3 linked regions of the Arabidopsis thaliana genome follow. The protein of the gene in region 2 binds, or shares a complex with, the protein of the main gene of each other region. Each region holds a gene or a part of one and is shown on either strand. Other genes may lie near its edges. A codon is read from its position in the direction of its gene.

Evidence for each region.
Region 1: the proteins of CP12-2 (region 2) and GAPA are in contact, whole or in part, in a crystal structure (PDB 3QV1), measured with the Arabidopsis thaliana proteins. Residues at the interface, in NP_191800.1 of Arabidopsis thaliana: Leu113 (codon at 1,402), Glu114 (codon at 1,399), Cys117 (codon at 1,390), Pro121 (codon at 1,378), Glu122 (codon at 1,375), Asn124 (codon at 1,369), Glu125 (codon at 1,366), Cys126 (codon at 1,363), Arg127 (codon at 1,360), Thr128 (codon at 1,357), Tyr129 (codon at 1,354), Asp130 (codon at 1,351), Asn131 (codon at 1,348); in NP_566796.2 of Arabidopsis thaliana: Arg140 (codon at 2,602), Val161 (codon at 2,454), Pro184 (codon at 2,385), Ser212 (codon at 2,301), Cys213 (codon at 2,298), Thr214 (codon at 2,295), Thr238 (codon at 2,138), His240 (codon at 2,132), Thr243 (codon at 2,123), Gly244 (codon at 2,120), Asp245 (codon at 2,117), Arg247 (codon at 2,111), Ser252 (codon at 2,096), His253 (codon at 2,093), Arg254 (codon at 2,090), Arg258 (codon at 2,078), Ser270 (codon at 2,042), Thr271 (codon at 2,039), Gly272 (codon at 2,036), Ala273 (codon at 2,033), Ala292 (codon at 1,976), Arg294 (codon at 1,970).
Region 3: the proteins of CP12-2 (region 2) and PRK are in contact, whole or in part, in a crystal structure (PDB 6KEZ), measured with the Arabidopsis thaliana proteins. Residues at the interface, in NP_191800.1 of Arabidopsis thaliana: Asp62 (codon at 1,555), Val64 (codon at 1,549), Glu65 (codon at 1,546), Ile68 (codon at 1,537), Gly82 (codon at 1,495), Val85 (codon at 1,486), Ala86 (codon at 1,483), Trp88 (codon at 1,477), Asp89 (codon at 1,474), Glu90 (codon at 1,471), Val91 (codon at 1,468), Glu92 (codon at 1,465), Glu93 (codon at 1,462), Leu94 (codon at 1,459), Ser95 (codon at 1,456), Ala96 (codon at 1,453), Ala97 (codon at 1,450), Ala98 (codon at 1,447), Ser99 (codon at 1,444), His100 (codon at 1,441), Arg102 (codon at 1,435), Asp103 (codon at 1,432); in NP_174486.1 of Arabidopsis thaliana: Ser59 (codon at 2,693), Lys63 (codon at 2,681), Arg109 (codon at 2,543), Arg112 (codon at 2,534), Lys113 (codon at 2,531), Gln115 (codon at 2,525), Lys116 (codon at 2,522), Thr118 (codon at 2,516), Ala119 (codon at 2,513), Tyr148 (codon at 2,426), His150 (codon at 2,420), Val151 (codon at 2,417), Lys201 (codon at 1,999), Arg204 (codon at 1,890), Asp205 (codon at 1,887), Ala207 (codon at 1,881), Glu208 (codon at 1,878), Arg209 (codon at 1,875), Gly210 (codon at 1,872), His211 (codon at 1,869), Ser215 (codon at 1,857), Ala218 (codon at 1,848), Ser219 (codon at 1,845), Ala222 (codon at 1,836), Arg223 (codon at 1,833).

The regions. Positions count from the first base shown.
Region 1 is NC_003074.8:9,792,605-9,798,506, reverse strand, and holds GAPA (glyceraldehyde 3-phosphate dehydrogenase A subunit), read right to left. Parts: upstream 3,646-5,902; 5' UTR 3,282-3,645; coding exon 3,252-3,281; intron 3,174-3,251; coding exon 3,066-3,173; intron 2,882-3,065; coding exon 2,577-2,881; intron 2,492-2,576; coding exon 2,247-2,491; intron 2,162-2,246; coding exon 1,659-2,161; 3' UTR 1,462-1,658; downstream 1-1,461. Other genes in the region: AT3G26670 (magnesium transporter, putative (DUF803)), read left to right, coding at 56-271; LBD24 (LOB domain-containing protein 24), read left to right, coding at 897-1,049, 1,159-1,371; LWD2 (Transducin/WD40 repeat-like superfamily protein), read right to left, coding at 4,191-5,231; AT3G26630 (Tetratricopeptide repeat (TPR)-like superfamily protein), read left to right, coding at 5,568-5,902. UniProt on the Arabidopsis thaliana protein: Involved in the photosynthetic reductive pentose phosphate pathway (Calvin-Benson cycle). Catalyzes the reduction of 1,3-diphosphoglycerate by NADPH.
Region 2 is NC_003074.8:23,088,723-23,092,743, reverse strand, and holds CP12-2 (CP12 domain-containing protein 2), read right to left. Parts: upstream 1,801-4,021; 5' UTR 1,739-1,800; coding exon 1,343-1,738; 3' UTR 1,164-1,342; downstream 1-1,163. Other genes in the region: BZIP53 (basic region/leucine zipper motif 53), read left to right, coding at 460-900; AT3G62400 (cytochrome C oxidase subunit), read right to left, coding at 2,071-2,331; TBL6 (TRICHOME BIREFRINGENCE-LIKE 6), read left to right, coding at 3,602-4,021. UniProt on the Arabidopsis thaliana protein: Acts as a linker essential in the assembly of a core complex of PRK/GAPDH. Coordinates the reversible inactivation of chloroplast enzymes GAPDH and PRK during darkness in photosynthetic tissues.
Region 3 is NC_003070.9:11,529,629-11,535,534, reverse strand, and holds PRK (phosphoribulokinase), read right to left. Parts: upstream 3,337-5,906; 5' UTR 2,868-3,336; coding exon 2,344-2,867; intron 2,076-2,343; coding exon 1,991-2,075; intron 1,891-1,990; coding exon 1,806-1,890; intron 1,726-1,805; coding exon 1,481-1,725; intron 1,378-1,480; coding exon 1,129-1,377; 3' UTR 896-1,128; downstream 1-895. Other genes in the region: NSI (nuclear shuttle interacting), read left to right, coding at 1-77, 195-310, 417-510, 608-684; SCAMP5 (SCAMP family protein), read right to left, coding at 4,561-4,593, 4,695-4,760, 4,843-4,891, 5,148-5,215, 5,299-5,344, 5,431-5,524, 5,634-5,696, 5,795-5,906.

The sequences.
Region 1 (5,902 bases), about 13 Mb from region 2:
TTTGTGAGCTTATTCAACAGTACTAATTAAAACTCTTTACTTCATTGTGTTGCAGACTGCTTGTTTAGCAGCACTAGGATTTGGTGAAGACTCTATAAATGCATCTGCGATTCTAGTGATGCCAATGGTATCTTCGAAGATTACAGGGTTTAGAGGAAACGGACTCGAACGGGCAAAGATTTTGTCCATGAGAGGGTCAGGATGGAGCAAACTAGCCATGGAAGAAGAAGGAACAAGAATGCTTGAAAAGACCATCTCTTCAAAGGCTTAAGTAGGTAGTGAAAACAGAAAGCATGAGACCGAATCTCATGCACATTCTTCTCTTATCACATATGTTGTAGTAGCAAAATCTGTTTTTAGGAAACCATCCCACGATTGTGTATTCTTGCAAGAACCAAATTGTATTACATAACAACATCTCTGTATATTCATTTTTTTGTTTGAGACCTGTGAAAAGTGTTTCATAAAGCACAAAATGTAAACAAGTTTGAATCGAGTTTATATTATTATTACAAATCCATAACTCAGGTATATAATTATATACAGTATTTGGAGAATCATATGCAAACAGCTGCTACTCTTGCTCTCCTTAGATCACTATAACTAGCGTCTAATAACTAGTAGTGCAATTTATTTTCTCTAAAGAGAACATGAATGTTGTTGCCTTAACAGTAATGTTAACGGTAATATAAAGTCTAATTAGTCTAAGTGAGAATCAACATAAATAGTCTTACCTTAAGTAAATGTTGTCAAATTTCAGAAACTGGAAACTAGCCGTTTGATTATTGGAAAAGAAAGGAAACGAAAAGGAATACAAATAGCTAAATCTTTGTGTAAGATTTCACAATCTCTTCTTTTGTGTTGTTTGTTTATATTTGTTTCTGAGAAAATCTAAGATGAATCCAAAAAGATGTGCAGCTTGCAAGTATCTGAGAAGAAGATGTCCAAAAGATTGCGTATTCTCACCATATTTCCCTCCAAACGATCCTCAAAAATTTGCATGTGTCCACAGAATCTATGGTGCTGGAAACGTTTCCAAAATGCTTCAGGTATACACATCTTTGTGTATCTTCTTCTAATATCCTATTTAAGATCACACTTTATGCATATATATAAGTAAGTGTATTCATGGTTGGATTTTGGTGATCTTTTTGACAGCAACTTCCTGATCAGACAAGAGCTGAAGCAGTGGAATCTTTGTGCTTTGAAGCAAAATGCAGAGTAGATGACCCTGTTTATGGTTGTGTTGGCATTATTCATTTACTTAAAACTCAGATTCAGAAAACTCAGAATGAATTAGCCAAAACTCAAGCTGAGATTGCTGTTGCTCAAACCAAACTTAGCCAAACCCAAAATTCTGATTTTATGTAATATCTCTCAGTTTCATCAATAAAATCTCCTCTGCATTTTTGTTTCCCTGTAACTTATAAGATTCAACTAACTTTGATATATCAAACTCATAATCATAATCAAGAGGCCATTAGCTATACTGAAAAGTGTATCACAAAACACAAAATGTAAACAAGTTTGAATAGTTTATGATTATTTATTACAAATCCATACTACAATTATACAGTCTTCACCGATATTTTGAGAACCATAATGTAAAAAAGAGAAAGAGAAAAAAATGGAAAAACATGAAACAAAGTTTGATGAAATCACTTCCAGTTGTTGGCAACAATGTCAGCCAAGTCAACAACTCTCTGTGAGTAACCCCATTCATTATCATACCAAGCAATCACCTTAACCATATCATCTCCCATAACCATAGTGAGTGATGAATCAATGGTCGTTGAAAAATCTGAGCATCTGAAATCAACGGACACTAGTGGCTCATCGCAGACATCGAGTATACCTTTAAGCTCTTTCTCTGCAGAATCTCTGAAAGCAGCGTTGACTTCCTCAGCAAATGTCTTCTTTGAGACCTGCACAACGAGATCAACCACTGATACGTTTGGTGTTGGTACACGGAGAGCGATCCCGTTGAGTTTTCCTTTGAGGTTAGGGAGCACAAGAGCCACAGCTTTAGCTGCTCCTGTAGAAGTAGGAACAATGTTCAAAGCAGCTGCTCTTGCTCTCCTTAGATCACGGTGACTCGCGTCTAGCAACCTCTGGTCACCGGTGTAAGAGTGAGTAGTCGTCATTGTACCCTTTATGATACCTGCAATGTTACAAACACATTAAAACCCGTTTCATTGATCCCGTGAGAGAACACGAAAAGCGAAAGCGGAAAACGGATTGCATACCGAATTTCTGGTCAAGAACTTTGACAAAGGGAGCAAGACAGTTGGTAGTGCAAGATGCATTGCTGATGATAGGTTCATCATGACTGTAAGCATCTGCATTGACACCAACGACATAAGTTGGAATATCTCCTTTGCCTGGAGCAGTAATGATAACCTTCTTGGCACCAGCTTCAATGTGTTTCCCTGCACCTTCTCTATCCACAAACACTCCGGTTCCTTCGATGACAATGTCAATTCCTAGCTCCCTAAGATACCAACCATATCCAATTCAAATGCTTATTCTAGACTTGAGATAAAAAGACTGATCACATAAGTGGTTTTTCGACTTACTTCCAAGGGAGAAGAGACGGGTTTCGGTTAGAGACAACTTGGATGATCTTTCCATCAACAGAGATTGCAGTCTCTCCAGAAGGTTTGACATCAGCATCAAAGATTCCGAGAGTAGAGTCGTATTTAAGTAAATGCGAAGCCTGCTTGACGCCACCAGTGTCATTAATGGCAATGATATCAAGAGGAGAGTCCTTGCGACCATGCCAACATCTCAGGAAGTTCCTCCCGATCCTACCGAATCCATTAATGGCCACCTTAAGCTTGGCCTCAGTCACACCTTTCCTGTATCCACCACTGCTTCCCATCTGATACACAAACAGAACAACCATCCAAATAGTTTACAAAACCGGCGAGAAACAGAAGCAAACATAATTCATCCGATTTATCGATAGACATGCATATAGGTACAAACATTTCATATAGTTGATGATCATCATAAGGAAGAACACGTAAGCTACAAATAATGTTGGAGGAGAACAGAGAACTCACTGCAGAAGTCTGGAAGGAGACGATGGAAACGAACTCATCGGAAGAAAGTTTCTTGCCGAAGGGAAGAGAAGCAGAGGAGCTTCGCAATCCTGAGAATTCAGTGAAACCCTGAAAACAAAACACAACATTTAGTTAACTTGTGTAAGAGAGACCTGAAGAAGAGAAGAAGAAGAAGGAGGAAGGTACCTTGGGGACAGAGAAAGTAACCGAAGCCATGGTGACCAGAAAGAATCCAAGTTAAGGTTTGTAGCAGACAGGAGAGCAAAAAGGATTGGTGAAGCAGAGACTAGTAATATAGGATAAAGAATTGATGACTTGGAGGCAAATAAGATTAGATTCTGGATAGCTTTCTTACTTGTTTCTATGGTTGTGGTTTTACCACTCTCTTGTCTCTTCATGTTTCTATGATCACATATTCACAAAGTCCCTCCTTCACCTATTTTTTAGATTTTTGGGCCTTTCATTTGGGCTTCTTCATTTGTGTGTGTGGTCACGGTTATAAAAGGAGGATAAGGCTGCTCTCCATTTGTCTGACTTTCAAAGCTAAGACTTTTTAGAGCAGAGGTTCTTAGGACTGGCTGAGAGAATATTGGCCAAAGGATTTAGTAAAGCTGATTTTGGTAAACCACAGACCTTGTATGCCTTTTAAGTTGGACAGAGAGTCTATATGCCTGTATTGAAGTAATGAAGAATACATCATCTGTACGATGTTACAAATGCCTAATTTCACAAATCTACATACCCATAAAGTGATATGGACAATGGAGACAAAACTTATAACAACTACCATAGAAAGCTACACATTCCATACGATGGTGAGGCAGACAAAATCCTGCAACTCCATCAGCTCGAGGGCAGAGAAACATAAATGCTGGTGTTAGTCATAATCTACTTCAAGTTCCCCGTTATGTCACATGCTCTCTGTTCAAAACTAACTTCCATACGTCTAATCAAATCCAATGCTAAAGCTAGTTATTCACAATTTTGAAGGTACATAGTTCCTACACAGACCATACTATGAAAGGAAACTCAATGAGGCTTAGAGTCAGAGATCAAAAGATCATTAATCAACAATAGCAACGAGTTTTTACATCCAAGTATCCAACAGAAATCTGTAAAACATAATCAGACCCGGAGAATCTGCAGCTTGTTAGAGAAGGCAATGGCAACCCAATCAGGCTGAGAAGATGACCACTGAAGCTGCTCAACCTCAGCGCCGGCTGTGTAAGCTAGAATCGGATCCAGACCACCTTCAACATGCTGTCCCATGGAAGATATATCCCAAATCAACGCCTGAGAATCATCTCCAGCGGAGCAGATATGGGAAGAGCTATGAGGAGCCCAAGCTATAGCATTGACACTAGCCTGATGTCGCTGAAGCTCCACGACAGGAAGAGCCGGAAACCGAATATCCAACACAACAATTTTAGCACTGCCCATGATAACAGTAGCCATATACCTCGGATCCTGCTTGTTCCAACTAAGTCGCACCAAAGGAGTACTAGGCTCACCACTCTCGTAGATAATCGTCGAATGCTCCTTATCACGGAGATCAAACACTCTAACGGAACCATCCTCTGAGACAGAGGCAAAGACACCAACACCACCCCAAGCAATGTCATAAACCTCTTTATCATGAGCAATAAGCTGGGTATCAACAACTTCACGCTCTATATCCCAAATAGTACAAGTGGTATCAATACTAGAAGTACCAATTCGTCTAGGCTCAGCTTCATTCCAATCAAATGAAGTGATTGGACCACTAAACTCACTATTCTTATCACTACTAAGACAAGACTTAAGCTCAACACGAGATTCATCATCAGAGATTCGCCATAAACGAAGGAAATCACTAGAAGTAGCTAAAAGATCGGGTCTTTGACATTCTTTATCGGGTATGAAACTGGTTTTCGTTGGTGGGTAAGGATGTTCGAAGCAGAGATTTGGATCTGAACGAATCTCACCATTTGATTCATCAAGCTGAACAATTTCGACGCGATTCGGATATTGCTCGATGAGGCTTGTGATTGCGAGCCGATACTTCTTGTCTCGACGAATGCTCCAGTTCATTGCGTAGATCTGCCATGGTGCTTCGTATGTGTAAATCTCTGATCTTTTTGATTGCTCTTCAGAACCATTTTGGATTTGATCGCTGCTCGTAACCATCTTTGCTTCAATGTAGCATAAACCCTAGATTCCTCTGCTTCGTCTTCTTCTTCTAATGGATATTTACTATTTCTTCTTTTTAGCTAACAAAAACGACGACGTTTAATACACGTAGAATCGATCCGGTTTGGTTCGAAATTTCTGTATTTCGTTTGGTTTAGTGGTTCCTAGTCGAATCAATCTGGTTATGCTTCCTCTTGCTACACAATAAACCGAATCCGAACCAAATCAGCCAAACTTCGGTTTAGTTCGGTTTATATGCAGCTTCATCATCATCCACACACGATCAATCGAGGAAAGAGTGAATGTGAGAATTTGGTGATTTATCGTTAATCCATGGCGGCTCCGTCGCCGTCTTCACCACCAAACCTCCTCTCTCCTCCACCATTCCGATCTCCCGAAGCTTCTTACTTTCTCCGAACTTGTTCAAATTTCTCTCAATTGAAACAAATTCACACCAAAATCATCAAACACAATCTCACCAACGATCAGTTACTAGTTCGTCAGCTCATAAGTGTTTCTTCTTCCTTCGGAGAAACCCAATACGCTTCTCTCGTCTTTAATCAACTTCAATCTCCTTCTACTTTTACCTGGAACCTTATGATAAGATCTCTCTCTGTTAATCACAAACCTCGTGAAGCTCTTCTTCTCTTTATCCTTATGATGATCTC
Region 2 (4,021 bases):
AGCCACAATTCTTGTTTCTCAGATAATTCATCTCCTTTCTTTGATTCGTTTCCTTCTCTTCTGTCACTCAGATCTAGATCTAGATCTAGGTTTTTTTCTTTCTCATCGGAAATTTGGCTTAGAGGCTTGTTTTGATCTAGGGTTTGGTTTTTGGGAATTTTGAAAAAAAAACAAAATTAGGAATGAATCTATGAGCTACTCAATCCTGTTTCGTCGGATTCGAATTCTACACTCTTTCTCCGTCGTTTACCTCTACTACACCTACGTTTTCTCATGAAGTAATCGTTCTCGATCTCAGTTTTCGTTTTTGATCTAACTTATTCTTTGATAGATTTAGAAATCGGGGATTTTCAGATTGTGTTTTTGAGAGGTTTTTATAGGAAAATATCTCTAGAAGAAGAAGAATAATATTATATTGATTTTAATTTTGGTGAGAAGAAGTCAAAAAGTCAACGAGAAATGGGGTCGTTGCAAATGCAAACAAGTCCTGAATCCGATAATGATCCGAGGTACGCCACGGTGACGGATGAGAGGAAGAGGAAGAGAATGATCTCTAACAGAGAATCTGCTCGGAGGTCAAGGATGAGGAAACAGAAGCAACTTGGTGATTTGATCAACGAAGTCACTCTTCTCAAGAATGATAACGCTAAAATCACTGAGCAGGTTGATGAAGCTTCAAAGAAATACATTGAAATGGAGTCTAAGAACAATGTCTTGAGGGCACAGGCTTCGGAGTTGACGGATAGGTTGAGATCATTGAACTCTGTGCTTGAGATGGTTGAAGAAATTAGTGGTCAGGCTTTGGATATTCCTGAGATTCCTGAATCTATGCAGAACCCTTGGCAGATGCCTTGTCCAATGCAACCAATCAGAGCTTCTGCTGATATGTTTGATTGCTGAAGATGGATGATTCATATCTGAAGGATCAAAAATGAAGCATTGAGTTCGAGTCTTTGGTCTGTTTTACTTACTGTCCTTGTTGTAACAATTAGTGTGTCATTGGTGAATTGAGTCTTGTGTTGTCAATGGACAACGCAATCTTTATGCAATTTCAATTTGTTCGTGTCTTTGTATGGTTTTGTAGCCTCAGTCCTCTAGTCTTGTGTCTCATGTAATTGGTGTCTAATGTGTTTCTTATTGAATTCAAGCTTTCTTATTATTCGCTGCGCATTACCTGTTATGAAATTTTGGCTTTTGTATTCGTTTATGGAACTACAAATTACAAATGTTTTTAGAGCTAATTCAGATTCAAAGACATGATTTATATAACCTGACATTACCAAATGGACCGGAACAAAGATTTGTCGTATACGTATGAATCCGGAACAGGATCTTGATCGCTTCAGTTGTCGTAAGTACGGCACTCGTTGGTCTCAGGATTGTCTTTGCAGTATTCCTCCAAAGGGTCCGAACCATCAGCCTTCTTCTTGTCTCTAGCATGGCTAGCTGCTGCGCTAAGTTCTTCAACCTCGTCCCACGCAGCTACACACTCTCCACTCACAGGATCGCCCGCACAAGTCTCCTGAGCTTCCTTAATGCTTTTCTCCACTACGTCCGATATCCCTCCTTCCGGTGCTGCTTTAATCGGCTGAAGTTTCATCATCCGGTTAGTTGTTCTTGACCCAAGATTCCACGAATTGTTCAAATGGACCGGACCGGCGAGACAAACTGGCCGATTCTCGCTGGTGACGAAGACACGCTGGGTTGCAATGTTAAGACCAGTAGCTATAGTTGCCATCTTTGGATGGAGAAGGTACACGGCAGCCTGTGAATATAGTTTTTGATAAAAGAAGATAGTTCAGATAATTGGGAGGGAACAAGATATATGAAGTGTGCGTGAATTTAATTCTGTGAACCCCATTTCTTATCCTCTATTAACCAACAATTAAGTTCCACGTATTTGATATCGTTTATGAAGCAGTACGATGTTGAAAATTTGCAGCCATCCAAGCCGTTTTCTAAGATACAAGTGCCTGTTGCGTATTTTATCCAAAAAAGATGAGAAAAAATAAGCTGGTAAGTATAATAAAATGATCACACACTGTTTAAGGAAAAGTCAAGACAGATGTCTCAAGTTTCAACCACTGTATCTCCGGAAAACAATGTGTTAACAAATATCCAATTTTGATGTCTGAGTGGTTGTTTATTTCTCAAGCAACCAACTTTCTTAGGTAACTTATCTGAGATCTCAAGAAACCATAAAAACAGAAAAATCGAGCCAACAACATTGAGAGTGAGAGAGAGGCATTCCCATTCACTCTTCAGAGGCGACAACACCGATCTCACCTCTCTCAAGCAAATCATAGAAAGTTCTAGTTTTCCTCTGCTCATTCCAATGGTGCATCTTCCAGAGACCACCAGCAGCTAAACCAAGCGTCAAACCAATAATCAATTCCTTGACAACACTCGGGCCTTTCAATGTGGCATGCGCAACCTTGTGTCCTGCCATTTCTTCTCAACCTAGCACACATTTTAATCATAGAGTCAATACTAACATAATTGATACTTTCACAATGCTCACGATTCCTAAAGCTGAAAACTTTATTGACAACCAATAAAACATCTATACACACACACACACTAATCTACCTGATCTCTTAATTTCTACTGGTTTGCACTTGGAGTCTATATATACACATAAACATGTACAATTTCGATCCATTTTCTGTCTAACCTCTTAACTACGTCTCTATTCAAAGGAAGATATCAAAGGCTTTGAATTTATTCCCAAAATGATACAAGAACCCTAATCCACAGGATCCAGATACTGAAAATAAAATTGGCATTTCTCCCGAAGAAAAGGATTAACGTTTCAAAGCATCACAACACTAAGAGCATCAAATCTAAATCAACGGAAGATTTAAACGAGAAATTCCGATCTTAAGCACACCGATCTACACGGGAAAAAAAACGAGAAATGGATTCGAATCTGATAAAAATTAATCGTAACTTCACAATCCGCCACCTATCTATAACGAAAATCACCACAAAATCATAAAGGAAACAACAATTATCATCAAGGGAAGAATATGGACTTTACCGAGTCAGATTGTGTAGATGAACGAGACAGAAGCTCACGACGAAAACGAAATGGTGGGTGATTGAAGAAGTTGCGTAAGCAGATAATCACTTCTCTACTCCATTTGTGTCTTATTGGGCCTTAAACATGGGCCTGATCTCTTATTTCTTCAATGGGCATTTTATGGAATTTGCTTTTTAAAAAAGTAAACCATTCGCTGCTCGTGTTCCCCGAGTGTGTCCCACCACGTTAATAATGCCAAATCCAATCTGTCAACACACTAAACTAATTTCCTAATCCTGAACTTTTTTAAATAATCATTATCTTTCCCTCTGTTCCGTTAATTATTGTAAAATTCATGAGCTCACGAGTTTGTAAGAACGTCATTATCATTTCTTCACCGAATCTCTCCTCTATACCCCACTAATTCAACCACCTTTGTCGACTCCAAAATTTCAATCCTTTTCTCAAACAGTTCCATTTTTCGATTTCAAATTTCTCTGATTACAGATAATTATGAAACTGTTTTTTCTTAACTAACTTATAACAGTTACAGAGAAAAAATAAATAAAGAGATAGAAGATGGAGAGACAAAGAAGTTTCTCTGTGAAGTCCACAAGAGTCTTAGCATTCATCATCACAATAATCTCTTCCGCCATTGTTTTCTTCACTTTCTTCTCCTCTTCCTTACTCAAATCTAACTCTTCTCTTTACCCAACACCAGAAGCTAACTTCCAGATCGATTTAAGCCCTATTGCCGCCATTTCCGATTCTTCAGTTTCTCCTCAAGCAAGTCCGATTCTGATCTCTACCCATTTCAATTCACCCGAAAACACTTCCGGGTCTTCAAAAATTTCTGTTTTTGAGCAGAAGATTAGCGGCGAGAGTTTGGTTAAGGAAGTTAGGGAAATTGCTAATTTAACTTCGATTAAAGTGATTGAACTTCCGAGCAACAATGGTGAAGATAAGAAGACAGAGAAGAGAATCGAAGAATGTGATGTT
Region 3 (5,906 bases), on a different chromosome or scaffold from region 2:
TGCTGCTTTGAAGAATAGTTATATGGTTGCTACTTTGCATTCTGTAATGAAGTCATCATCAGATTCAGATTCATCAGGTGCTTATAACTAAGTATAACACTTTTCTTGACTCACTATAAGCAATGTGTATATATATACAAAGAGGATGTTTTGATGAACATCTTAGCGGATTTTGGAGAAGTTATTTGACACAGAAGGCGGGGATGGGGAGAAGCAGCAGGAGAAGAAGCTTATTGGTATGGCACGTGCGACGTCGGATCATGCCTTTAATGCTACAATTTGGGATGTTCTTGTTGATCCTGAATATCAGGTTAATCAAAACAAATGATATGGTTTTTGCATTTAGTTTTTGCTTGCCAATATAAATGCTTTGTGTTTGATGTTAATTGGTGTTTGTGTTTGTTTTCACGTTTCAGGGTCAAGGGCTAGGTAAAGCTCTTGTTGAAAAACTTGTAAGGGCTCTTCTTCAAAGAGATATTGGTAACATATCTCTGTTTGCAGATAGTCAAGGTAAAACATCGAATCACTGTTTAATCTGCAATTTTTGTGGTCAAAATATTTGGATTTGTTCTTACTTAGTTGTTGAATCTGTGTTCCTTTTTTGTAGTTGTGGATTTCTATCAGAACTTGGGGTTTGAGGCTGATCCAGAAGGCATCAAAGGCATGTTTTGGTACCCAAAGTAGTACTTGGTGATTGCAAGAAAATGGGATTGTTACTTGTATGTATAATTTCTTTGCTTTCTTATATGGAATCTATAAGGAAGTTTGAACTGTGTAATTTGTAATCCAAAAGCTATTTGACATTCAAGTATTCAACATGAGTATGATCAATAGGATAAAACTGTTCTTTCTTTTGCTTAGTTGATTTGTGGTTTGAATCTACTTTGATGCTGTAAAGAACAAATTTTGAAGGCGTTCTATAAACTGAACTGTTATTGCTCTGCTATTCACTTCTCTACATTACAGGCTTTTTCTTTTTATCTCCACACAAATTACAAACAAGCAAGACCGTCCTTTTCGCCATGAAAATCCGCGGTAAACAACGCATAAAGAAAGAAAGAAATAAGAAAAAGAAGAAACTGCGGATGTATTTATCGACGCGTTCTATTTGGCTTCGCTTCGTTTGTTTTAGGCTTTAGCTTCTGCACGAGCAGTGGCTTTGTTGGCAATGAGCTGCTCATAGAGATCTCTGATCTTCAATCCAACAATGGTTTGGAAAAGACCAGTACCGTTGTTGCTACCCGGGAAATCAGCATGTTTGAGCATTTGTTGAGTGACTTCTCCGTAGAATTTGGTCGAGAGGTTGCTCAAGTGACTTTCCACGTAAATCAGCTCGTCCAGTCTATCAAATTGTCCATCCATCTCCAAAACTGATACCTGAGAGAAACAAAAAGGGAGATATATGCAATGAGTCTAAATTCTCATACACATGCATTTTCATTCATTTCTCACAATATGTCATTATGCAATATGAATGTACCTCATGGTCGAAGTAGGAGTCAGGTTCGTAGTTGAACTTGATGCCAGGGTACGAGCAAGTGAGTTTGCGGCCGCAAGGAATCCACGAGATGGTTGAACCTTCATCGAACAGGTAAACCGGGCTGAAGTACTTAACACCTTCCTTCATTATCAATCTCACTCTCAACACTTTCCCTTCGTTGTCATCTGGGATCAGAGTCGTAGGAAGCACTTCTATGACCGCATCCGCGTACTGCTTTTGCGGGTCTGTATAAGCCATTGAAAATATTATAAACTGATCAAGCCGAATATGACACGGGGTTACATCAAGAAATTAGGAGTGTTACCGATGAATGCATCGAAGTCGGGCTTTCGGGCTTCGATACTCGCTTTGATGCTCTCCAAACTGTGACCTCTTTCAGCCATGTCCCTCTGTGACCATCAAAAACGTTACAGATTCAGTTTTATAAGATAAACCGAAAACGTTCCACAAAATGGTGTAAATGTAGTTGAATTATTCAAAGAAATTCACCTGAATTTTCCAAGCGAATTTGACTTCGTTGCTAATGTCCAAGTAGATACTGAAGTCTAGTAAGTCTCTTACTCGCTCATCAAACCTTCACAAGTAGATAAATATTATTATAAAACATTACAAGTACCAAAACTATAGACTTAATTATTCGAATAAAAATTAATCGGTGTCACACACTACATGCATAGATTCAAAGATCCATCTTTAATTATTCTGATACTGATTCTAGTATAAATCTAAGTCCAGATTCTTAATCATCGAAATTCCGACAAGATAAGAGACTTCCAAACTCTAAAATTTGAGTATGTCTAAGATACAAAACAGAGTATCATAACAGAGTATGTGTAGCTTACATTGGGTGAAGACCTTCGATGACAAGAATCTTAGGAGGCTGAATAAGCTCCGGAGGGTCAAGAAGTCCAGTGACATGGTTATAAATCGGTTTCTCGACGGCTATACCATTCTTAAGAGCTTTGACTTGCTCATACATGAGATCAAAGTCATTGGCGCGTGGGTCCAAAGCGGTGACTTTCTGCTCTTTCCTACCGTACCTATCCAAAGAATGGTAATCATCAAGACAGATCACAGTGGTCGTGTCGCTGATGAGTGTGTTGGAATCAGGGTTCCCGCCTTTTGGTGGCTTAGCAGCGCCACCAAAGACGCTGGTGAGCCTCCGCATAAAGGTACTTTTGCCGCAGCCAGAGTCAGCAGCTAGTCCGATCACGATGGTTTCTTGTGCGCAAGTGATGAGTGTGTTGAATCTACGGTTGGTTTGTGGTTGACGACGGTAGAGGAAGACTTGTTTGGAGGAGGAAGAAGAGGTTAAGAAATGAGTTGAATTGAGAGCTTGTGTTGAGTAGATAGTTGAGACAGCCATTGTTGTTTGTTTGGTGTTTTGGTCTCCTCTTCTTCTCCGCCTAAGCTCTTTTTTTTTTGTTTAGCTTTGTGAGCTCAGGTTGAGTGATGAGGATTTAGGATAGAATGAAAGAAATGTGGGTAACGATTTTTGATTTTATGGTTTTTTGTGTGGTGATATAGAGATGTGATTTTTTTTTTTTTTGAAAATAAGATTAAATGGGGAAAGAGAGAAATGAGAGGAGGACAATGGGTCTATAGGAAAAACAGATGGCAATTTGCAGAGAAGAAAAGGAGTTTTATTTTGTTTTGTTTTGGTTTAATGTGGTTGTGTGATGATTGGCTCATGTTTTGGTTTCTTGAAGTAAAATTGTTTGTAATGTTGATTAGTCTCTATGTTAAGATGTTGTTGATAAGATAAGAGGATAAGAAAACATTTATAGCCATTAAAAAACCAAAGATCATATCTTATTTACTTCATGAAGTAATAAACTTATGGTAATTTTGTTTGATTTTTTTGGCTAAAAGATAATTTGGAGAATAGAGTTTGGGAGAGGAGTGGAGTTGCCGATGAAGTGATAAAACTAACAGGGCATGGAGGGAGACGTTGCTTGGTGGTTATTTGCTTATTTTTTTGGGATTTGGATATTTGAATTGACACGTGGGAGATTCTAATTGGACAGATGGGGATTAGGTGTTTAAGGTCTGAAGATGAAGGAGAGAGTATTATGTGGGTCACATTTACACGTCACCGTATATCCCCCCTTGGCTTCGAATCTTTATGGTCTTTGAACAACTTACCTTTTTATGCTTTTATTTTTTTCTATAGGGATCAAAGCCTTCTTGCGTTACCTTAACAATGGGCTTCAAGCCTACCAATTAATAAAGACACCAAGAGTTTTTTTTTTTTTTTTTTTTTTGTGAACAGATACCAGAAGTTTATTACTCATGAATTTCACCGTAGGGTAATTAGTAAAAGAGATTACATCGGGATTAAAAAAACAAAACCATGGTTTATTTATCGACCGCGATAGAGTCGGCACTAGTTGCTTATTCTTGGACACATTGAACGTAGTCTCCACCAACCACCATACAACTTCCATGTCAAGCATGAAACTATAACGGGTCAGAGAATTTGTTAGGTTAAAAAGTAAAAACTATGGACTCACATTAAATCTTTCCAAAAAAATTACTTTAATCTCTTTTGAGTTTTGACTCATGGAGTTTGCAAATGAAAAAAAGTTCTTATTTTGCTCAACAGAAGAATTTAACGAAGTTTTATCTCTCTCGAGTCATGGTGTTTGCAAAAAAAAAAATTCATAAAGTTCACGGCCATATCGAAACATCTATACTTTGTTATACGCAATGATAATCAGAAGGACCAGATTCTAAGATTCAGACCGAAGAGAGTCGCTACTAATAATTCATAGCTATGATTTTTTTTTGTCTAAATAGTCCATCCACTTCGCCGAAAAAAAATCCCAAAAGCTAAGAGACGATATTGGTATATTACAGACCAGAGAAGAACAGAGTAAAAAACATAAAGAAATGGCCGAACAACCACTCTCTCTTGCTACTATAGTAACTAAAGAATTTACCTCAATCAACACAACGCATCAAACGGTAAAATGGTAATTACATTCATAGGAGATACACATATTTCAGACCTTATATCGTAAGGGAAAATTACCATCATCTTCCTCTTTATCTCCTTTTCACTTGTTTCCCCTAAAGTAGAGGTAAATTTTCTGCAAAGCCAAAATGGGAAACCAGATCAATCAAATGTTTACTGGTTTCATCAACGTCAACAGTTTTGAAGAAGCCATGAAAAGTATGATCAGAGGCTTACCTGAAGAACCCATAGACTCAGCAGTGACTCCAAGCAGAAGAGACCGAATCCGATAAAGTAGAAGATCTGCCATCATTCATTAGGGTTAGACACATTGAATATATTATAGGCGTCGTCATGAAATGTAAAATAGGTGTATAGCTCATACCCCAGCTAATAAACTGTCTGAGATGACATCAATTGCTGCAAGCACACCCCTGTTGATCGAAATAAGAGAAAGGGTTTTTAAGTTAATCTCAAGGCAACAAAACATACAGAGGTGAATCACAGCTAGATTCTCACTTCTACTTGTAGTCATAATCCTCATTATTTTGTAACAACTGAATATTAATAAACCTTTCAGAACAATTTAGAACTTTCCAATTGAAGCCCTCACCAGACTAACCAACTACATATGAAGTAAGAGTACACTCAAACGCAAGTAGAAACGTAGGCTATTATTGGAAGACTTACGTTAATGATTTTCCATGGAAAAAGATTGGAGGGGCGATGGCAGCAACGATGCAGAAGCCAATGTGAATCTGTAAGGAGCTCAGGTCAATCATGTGGAAAATGGAAGTATATCTACTTAAAGGTAAGATATAAATAGGTTTTATGAACTCACCAAGTAGGTGAAGAAAAACCAACCAAACTTCAAAGCACTGTCAGTCCTGCAAGGCCGTAAAATGTATTTCAATTATATCGCCTGTAATTGTACTTATACAAATGGAAGAGAACCAGTGAGCAGGAATATTACCTCATGGCTCGGTAGAGTGGCCTGTACCATAGTACATAAGAGAGTGGACATCCGATCAATGCATATATTGTGGCCAGGAAAAAGATTTTAACACCTATCATTGATATTTTAAAACCACCATTAGTTGAACCAAATCCAATCAAAATTCTCATAAAAAAAGTTACCTTCATAATATAAAACATTGTAATATAGTGTAGGCTCACCTCCGCCTTTAATCCAGCAGACCATCGTTGCAATGACATTGAATACCAGACACAGAACGATACCTGAAATTTTAATAGTCGAACAGTCAAATACAAGCCCAACAATTCAACACATTAGATACACGTGATAAAAAAAGACAGAAAAACAAGATTAGCCTTACCTAACCAACTAGCGAAAGCCAGATACTGCAGCTTTTGTGCATGAACTGGTATCTCTTTAGCAATGTCATGGTGTATGATTGGGAAAAACGGTGGCCAGTTTTTATCATCTAT